Mus musculus: one gene and its partner. The protein of the gene in region 1 binds, or shares a complex with, the protein of each later gene. Links are inferred from orthologs where the notes say so. Each region holds a gene or a part of one and is shown on either strand. Other genes may lie near its edges.

Region 1 (3,573 bases):
TGCATCCTGAGGCCGTCCCTGCTCACTGGTCCAGCGAGAGCGCAGAAAAGCTCACTTTTCTTAATTATGTGTAGAAGGTGTATATATGTGCCTGGTGCCCACAGAGTCCAAAGGAGGGCATCCAGTCCCCTGGAACTGGGCCTATAGGCAATAGTGAGCCACCATATGGGAGTCCAGGTCCCCTATGAGAGCAGCAGACACTCCTAACTGCTAAGCATCTCTCCAACCCTCTATTTTTCTCACTCTGTAGGCCAAGCTGTCCTCAGACTCTTGGTAATCCTCCTTTTTCAACCTCCTAAATGCTGAGACCTAGCTGAACATGGGATTTAGGAACAGAAACCAAAAGACCTGTCTGACGGACATTCTTTTGTACAAAGTGGGGGACGTGACTCCTGCCACACCTTTGCCCCAGCTTGGCTGCAGCGTCTCCAGGAGGTGAACCGTATACGAGGCATTGGCTGTGTTCTACATCCTGAAGCAGCAGACATCAGACCCAGTGTACAAAACAAAGGCTGCTTTTATTGTAGTAAAATGGAGAGGTCTCTGGTAGAGGGGGGAGCAAGGGAGCAAGGGGAGCGGGGTGGGAGTGCAGACAGGTCCTAGTTGGTCCTGCCCTCTCGGTCTTTGGGATGGGTAAGAAGGTGGTCATTATGGCTTCGGATAATGGAATTGATCCAATCTGCAAACTCAGCCACAGGGGCGAAGGCATCTGGGTACAATCCAGATCCACAGCCTCCTCGGATGAAGGAGTCAATGCCTTGGACAAGGTTGTTACAGACCAAGGGTCCGCCAGAGTCCCCCTGTGGAGGCGTCCATGTCAGAGGCTGGATCTCTAGTCATCCCCTACCCATGCTCCAGCACTGGGAAGTCCTCCCTGGGGTCCGACTACTATCCCTGCTGCTGCAGAGGGTACTTACGAAGCAGATGCCTGCCTGCCGACGTGGCACCAGAGTGCATACGTTCACACGACGGCGGCACATGTTAGTCACCACTGTCACATTGAGCTCTTGTAGCACACTGGGTGATGGTCTGTTTGTGCCCAACCTGCCCCAGCCCATGGCCAGACATGGAGTTCTGTCACCCACGCCCTGGCCCTGGGCAGGCAGCTGGGCCACCTGCACGTTGGCGTTAATGGTAGCGGAGCCATTGAGCTACAGTGGAAGACACGGGGGGGGGGGGGGGGGGGAGGCATAGAACACCAAGAAGTCACAGAGCACAGTTTATAAGAACCCTCCCCACTTTCCTTAGTACCTGACCATCAAGTGGTGAAAAAATTTAAGAACTAGAGGAAGACGTGAGTATTTTCCAAGAGTTCCCCAAGCTTCAGGGTCAGTGTGTGGAAAGGCACAAATAAGAGTTTGTTGGTTGAATACTGCTCAGAGCTTTCTGTATATTATCTCATTTAAGCCTTCAACATTCAGCCCACAGAATAGTTAATTCTCCACTGTGCTGAGCTGGAAACAGGCTCAGAGGGTGATGACTGCAGTTGACCCAGTGTGTACCTGTCCTGCAGCCTGTTCTGCAGTGCACTCTCCCTAAGCTGACCTCGGGACCTTTGCACGAGGCTCAGGTTCCTGAACTGGCAGGCCCACCTGGATAATCACAATGTCGTTCAGCAGTTGTGATGGGTCAAAGCCATTCTCGAAGATCCGCTGCACAGAGAAGGTCTGTCGAGTGCGCTCCTGTCGCCGCAGGTCATGGGCTCCCAGCACTACCTGCACTGACCGGAAATTTCTAAGGGCAATGGAGAGGGAAGGAGAATTATTGGGAATGCCCACCTGACCTCTTGACCCCAGTCTGACCCGCATGGACATTGAGGGCTAAGAGGGGAAGGAAGGGGACTCACAGGCCGTTCACACAGTGGGCTGCTGACATGACGAAGTTCCTGGCAATGAGGGTGGCACCACAGAAATGACCTCCACGCCTCTGCAGGGATGCCATGAAGGGCCAAGCATGGGGCCGGGCCGGCCGGCCACCAACAATCTCTGAGGCCAGTGCTGGGCCTGAGAACACACAAAGAAGAGTGAGCCCTGAGCTGCTGGGGCCCTCAGTGAGAACTCACAAGGCTGGCTAGGGAAACTGAGGCAGAGAAAAGACAAGGGACCTAGCCCAGGTTGCCCTTAGACTTGAGACCCAGTGCCTTCACAGTAACCACCCTCAGGCTTAGAACCCCAGTTTCCTTAGAAACCCAGTTTCCTGATCGTGGCTTTGCCATTATAAACCTTCACATCTTTTCCTGGGGTCCTGGCAGATGTGCAAGTAGATGAAAGAGATGGACCAGAGGTCAGAAGGGTGGACATGTGTCTGTTTGCACTCACCACCCAGGAACAATGCCAGTAGCATGGCAGCCAGAGTCCGGCTGGATAGTCTGCCAAGGGCCATGGTGGGCTGTGTTCTCGCGGCTCCCCACATCCCTACCTAACAGCCATACTTATAGCTGGAACCAGAGGCCGTTGTATTGCCCCATCCTGGCCACAGCCCTACTTCCTCCCTGGGACACGACAGTGGGGGTGTCATGGAGAGATGTGTGCCCCTCAGGGTCTCCATGTCAGCATCATCCATGCTGCTGAATACCAATGAAAACTCAGCAGACATCCATCTTCTTTTTTTTTTTTTTTTTGGTTTTTTTCTTTTTGGTTTTTCGAGACAGGGTTTCTCTGTATAGCCCTGGCTGCCCTGAAACTCACTTTGTAGATCAGGCTGGCCTCGAACTCAGAAATCCACCTGCCTCTGCCTCCTTCTTTTCTTTTTTTTAAAAATGGGATCTCAAAAAAAAAAAAAAAAAAAAAAAAAAAGAGCCGGGCTTGGTAGCGCACACCTTTAATCCCAGCACTCGGGAGGCAGAGGCAGGCAGATTTCTGAGTTCGAGGCCAGCCTGGTCTACAAAGTGAGTTCCAGGCCAAGGCTATACAGAGAAACCCTGTCTTGAAAAACAAAAACAAAAAAACAAAAAAAAAACAAAAAACAAAAAAAACTTAGGGCCAGGTAGTGGTGGCATGTACCTTTAAAATCAGTACCAGCGAGGCAGAGGCAGAGGCAGGTGGAGCTCTGTGAGTTTGAGGCCAGCCTGGTCTACAGATCTAGTTCCAGGATAACCAGGGCTAGACAAAGAAACCCTATCTCAAAATTAAATAAGTAAATAAATATATAAACAAACAAACAAAATCTCACGTAGCCCAGGCTAGTCTCAAACCCTTAATCCCCCTGCTTCCACCTCGTGAGTGCTGGGATGATGGTGAGCACCTCCGTGCCCACTTGGTGCCCTAATCTACAACTTATATCTGAAGGCCAATCTCTCTGCCTCAGTTTACCTCAGGTATAGTAATAACAGCAACACATACCTATAAAAGAGTTTCTGTGTGTGTGCATGTGTGTGTGAATATATGTGTGCATGAGTGTGTGTGTAGCCAGACTTGCCTGGAACTCACAGAGATCCACCTGCCTCTGCCTCCTCAGTGCTGGGACTAAGGGTGTGAACATCTATTCCCAGGACAGTGGGTCTTTTTAACCTGGGGTTCAGGACTAGACAGCACATGGCAGCCAGCTCAGCCCCTAATTTATGGCTTGCTCCTC
Region 2 (4,171 bases), on another chromosome or scaffold:
TTCAAAAACACATACAAGTAAGCACACTGCACATGTGTGTGCGTGCACACACATGCACCGCATTTTCATAACGCCGGGTAGCAATAAGTGGCCGTGGTGTGTGAAGGCACTCTGGTAAAGCACAGCTGTATAGCACACACACACTTTGCACCATTCTGCAACCTCTGGTGCACTACACGTTGTAAGAAAGCGGTCCCTGTTGCCACTTTGCAGATAAAAACATGATATTTGGAAGGTTCAAGCATGCCCAAGCCTGGAATTCTCATCCTTCTCCTCCCGGAATGTAAGAGGGAGGCCTCGTTCCCATCCTTCCTTTATTGGTTCCTACCACACCCATCTCATCCCCTCAGTGAATCAGAGTCACGGTGTGCATAGAGAAATGAATGCGTTTATTTATTTGCTCTCCAACAGCATTTCCCTAAAGATCGGTGAATGCTGAGCCAAAAGGAGATGTTAGTGGTAAAACAGTAACCCTGGTCCACAGGATCCAAGCCTGGGATACAGGGAGCCGGGAGCCATGGAACCCGGAGCAGGGACGCCTGGGAGCAGGGAAGTAGTTTCCAGAGCACACCGAGCACGAGTCCAGAGCCGGCGCCAATGTCAGGGATCAGGCTACAAGAGAAAGTAAGGAAAGACCTTCAACATAGGAACCAGCTAGATCATTCCTATCCAGCCCTTGTAAGGGAGCATGCTGAGAACGGTCAAAGGGTAAAGTGGGGCTGGACTTGAGAGGATCTGGGGTTTCAGGAGAACAGGTTCAAATCTCGTTGTCGTTGTAAAACTCAAAACGCAGAGCACTGAGCTAGACATTCCTCACATTATACCTATCCTTTGTGCTCTGACCAGAGAGACACCATGAAGTAAATAACATGGGAAGCAAATAACGTATACTGTGCCTCGCAAAACTTCAACTTCGGTATTTCTATTGTGCAGGCAGAGACTCTGAGAGCCATTCACCCGAGGCCCTTACCCTGACAGGCTGCCACAGGATCAAAGCCTCAGGCAATGCTAAGCTTTGCCCTAAGAAACAGGGGACAGTTCCCTTAAACGGCAAACAGACAGGGGCTCCTGATTAGAATAGAATCTCCTGGCGCATGTGCTTCGAGCTCCAGAACCTTGAAGCAGAAAAGGGCTGGAGAGAAATGAGCTCTGCCTACCCCAGCCCACTCCTTACCTCACATCGGGGGCAGGCAGACTTTCCCACATATACCCTCACAGCACTTGTATTTGCCGTCACACTGCCCGTCCCTCTGGCAGACATTGGGAGGGTTAAGCATCATACATCTTGCCTGAGTTTTGACGCACCTCCCAGGCTTCCTCCACACTGTTGAGAAAGGATTCACAGGGCCGATGTCTTAGGGCTCAGGCAACACATCTCCATGTCTTTAACCCAACATCTCCTTCCTGAGCGAGGAAGTTCGTCCCCATCCACCCATCACCTTTGTCACCTCCTCCCAAACACGCCTCCTGAAAGAGGACCTGCTTCCTCGCTACCATCTAGCCTCCAGCCAATGCAGGGGACCAGCTCTCCAGCCCCGAAAGGGCCGAATGGTTGTAAAGCCATCATCCTCACAGAGTGGCAACTGCAGGCAAATGGCTCTTCCTGCCAATGGCAGCAAGAGGCCTTGACTAACTGACATGTTGGACCCAACAGCTCTTAGAAACAAGGATGCCTGGGAGGGACTCTTCATTCACTCTGGGTGGCTCTTGACGTTGATTGTCCCCTCTCTGTTTTCTCTGCTGGCTCACCTGGTTTGCGAATGGGAACAGGATTCACGCACTTGGAACCGCAAGCATCTTGGCAGCACCTCTGCTTTCCCGGGCACTCCCAGTCAGTACGGCATTGTGGCTTCTCAAGCTTAAGGCACTGGGCAGGCTTTTTAGCAGGGCAGGCTCCGATTTTGATAGCATCTAAAGAGAAGCTCAAGATGTTAGGAGGGTACGGACTATCATCATTCCTAGACGAAGGTCCACATCTCAGAATATAGACCCTCATTCCAGTGGCCCACAACTTCAAAGAGAAATACCGGGCTGACCTAGGGAGGAAAAGTCAGACTTGGTCAACCAAGACATGTGACCAGGAAAAATCAGACTGAGGATAAAAGGTACCGGGCTCCCAGTCAAGGTTTTCTACCTCAGGGCTAAGCAAGATCTCACAAAGACAGAAGGTGGGAGCAGGAATAATGGAGACCAAGAGAAATAAATAGGAAGGGAACTAATATGTGAGATGCTGAGAACTAAAGCCAGAGACAGAAACAAACAGAAAGGCTAAAGGGCAGGGACAGAGCTGTGTGAGACCTGAGCTGACAGGATGGCTGCATAAGAGGAGCACCTCTACATGCCTTGAAACTTCATCAAGACCTCAGACCCCAGCGAGACACAGATGTCGCCCTGAGGTCAGAGTAAACTGAAAAACAGCCCAAACCATCAGGAGCCCCCACCTCTGATACTCCAGGCAATGTTGGACCAAAGCAACTCCAACTCACCATTTTTGCCTCCTTCCACAGTCCAGGGTGCCAGGATCCCCAGAGCAAGGAGCACCGTGAAAGGTAAAAGGCCGCAGGACTTCATGGTGAAGGCAGGGGAGCTCTGATGACCAGTCCCGAGGATCACTATTTATGTCTTTACCAGGAGGCGTGGCCCCAGTGGCATGCATTTGGCCCCTCCCTGTGGCTCTTGCACAGGCAGGAAGCTTAGCCACAGAACAGGAGTCTTGCTGCTACAGAAGTAGGTGGCAGACTTTCTGTTTCAGGCAGGACCATGAGGCCATCAGAGTAACCACCTGAGAGCTGAAAATGACAGAAGCTGTCTTGGAAGTTATCAGCAGAGGGACATTGCAAGTGATCACCTGAGCCCTGAGCATTGTGAAATCCCAAGACTATTGCTCTCACTAGTAGAGAAGAACCAGTCACAAAAGGGTTACCCTAACCTGAAGCTGAGACATCACACGTGGACTCTCGGCTGAAACTCTGCCATACACCTCTATTTTTTTTTTTTTTAATGTTCCTGGACTTTCTGGGATTTTGAAACTCTAACCTATTGCTCAATACAAATTCCTTCTCGAGATGAAGATGACGCATGGCTCAACCAACTGATGTTGATTTCTGCCAAATCATTTGCACCGCTGTTTGCCCGGTGCCCATTCCATGACTGGAACCTGGAAAGCAATCCCTAAACAAATGAAAGTTACACACAGAAGGGCCTTGCCTTCAGCCAACCTTGTTGGAGCTCAGTCTCTTAGTCGTGAAACAACTTGGGACTGGTTTTAAGATTAAGGGCTTAAAATGACCCTTAAAGTAATGAATGAATTGCATCAATGGCTAATAGAGATCACTGATGCGGACTGGAGGAAAGAGACAGGGCCTCTTACTCATCGCTGCAATCAGCGTGGAGCTGTGGTGTCCTTTGACTTGTTAAAGGAATTCATTCTTCCTACCCCTAAATCCTCCACAGGCTTCAGATGTCAGCCAAAAACTATGGCTGCCATGCATTCCGCCCACTATGGATGCTCCCTGGTGTGTGTTGATTGCATCCAATGATCAGAAGAGATATCGTTCTCTGTAGACTTCAACCCAAGATTCCCTTCCTACAAATCCCGAGCCTTCCTGCAAATCCTGAGCCTTACGTCAGCATCGTGGCACCATCTCTGTAGATTCCATATTTGTGCATTTATACCATTTGCCTCCTCTGTCTACCCCCTCCAATCTCACCCCCCACCCTCCTCCTTCTCAAGTTCTCGGCCTCTCTTGGCCTCTCTTTCTTTAATTATTACTGTTCTGCGTGTATATGAATAGATATACTGATACAACCTACTGAGTCAGGTTAGTGCTGCTCATGTGTGTATGTCTTTTAGGGCTGATCACTTGATATTAGATAGCCAACTGGGCTCATCCTTAGGAAAGACCCCCTCTCTTGGCAATCTTTAAGTACCTGTATTTTATCATCTAGGGGTGAAGCTCCGAGAGATTCCCCCTTCCACCATGGCATGTCAACTGGTATCCAGGTCTTATTGAGGCAGCCATGATGGATGTTGAGATGTCATGGTCCTTGTAATTTTCCCACTTGTTCCTCAAAGGAAGTTTGTAGACATTGAAACAGACACAAAAAGGCTATGTGTTAAGTACTGGGCTCCACAAGGTATTCTCTAAGCCAGGAGCCAGCTGTTAGCAGA

Evidence for each region. Proteins that work in one complex are often made in the same cells at the same time.
Region 2: the proteins of Elane (region 1) and Slpi are in contact, whole or in part, in a crystal structure (PDB 2Z7F), measured with the Homo sapiens proteins. The link is inferred for Mus musculus from reciprocal best matches to the Homo sapiens genes ELANE and SLPI. Residues at the interface, in NP_001963.1 of Homo sapiens: His53, Phe54, Cys55, His70, Cys71, Asn74, Val75, Pro111, Val112, Asn113, Leu114, Leu158, Ile165, Leu180, Arg182, Val197, Cys198, Phe199, Gly200, Asp201, Ser202, Ala216, Ser217, Phe218, Val219, Arg220, Gly221; in NP_003055.1 of Homo sapiens: Tyr93, Gly94, Gln95, Cys96, Leu97, Met98, Leu99, Pro102, Phe104, Met121, Cys122.

What each region holds. Positions count from the first base shown.
Region 1 is NC_000076.6:79,885,144-79,888,716, reverse strand, and holds Elane (neutrophil elastase precursor), read right to left. Parts: upstream 2,406-3,573; 5' UTR 2,383-2,405; coding exon 2,319-2,382; intron 2,004-2,318; coding exon 1,847-2,003; intron 1,735-1,846; coding exon 1,593-1,734; intron 1,152-1,592; coding exon 918-1,151; intron 801-917; coding exon 600-800; 3' UTR 501-599; downstream 1-500. UniProt on the Homo sapiens protein: Serine protease that modifies the functions of natural killer cells, monocytes and granulocytes. Inhibits C5a-dependent neutrophil enzyme release and chemotaxis. Promotes cleavage of GSDMB, thereby inhibiting pyroptosis. Promotes blood coagulation.
Region 2 is NC_000068.7:164,353,702-164,357,872, forward strand, and holds Slpi (antileukoproteinase precursor), read right to left. Parts: upstream 2,807-4,171; 5' UTR 2,572-2,806; coding exon 2,487-2,571; intron 1,912-2,486; coding exon 1,750-1,911; intron 1,325-1,749; coding exon 1,176-1,324; 3' UTR 1,175-1,175; intron 683-1,174; exon of another isoform or gene 613-682; 3' UTR 369-612; downstream 1-368.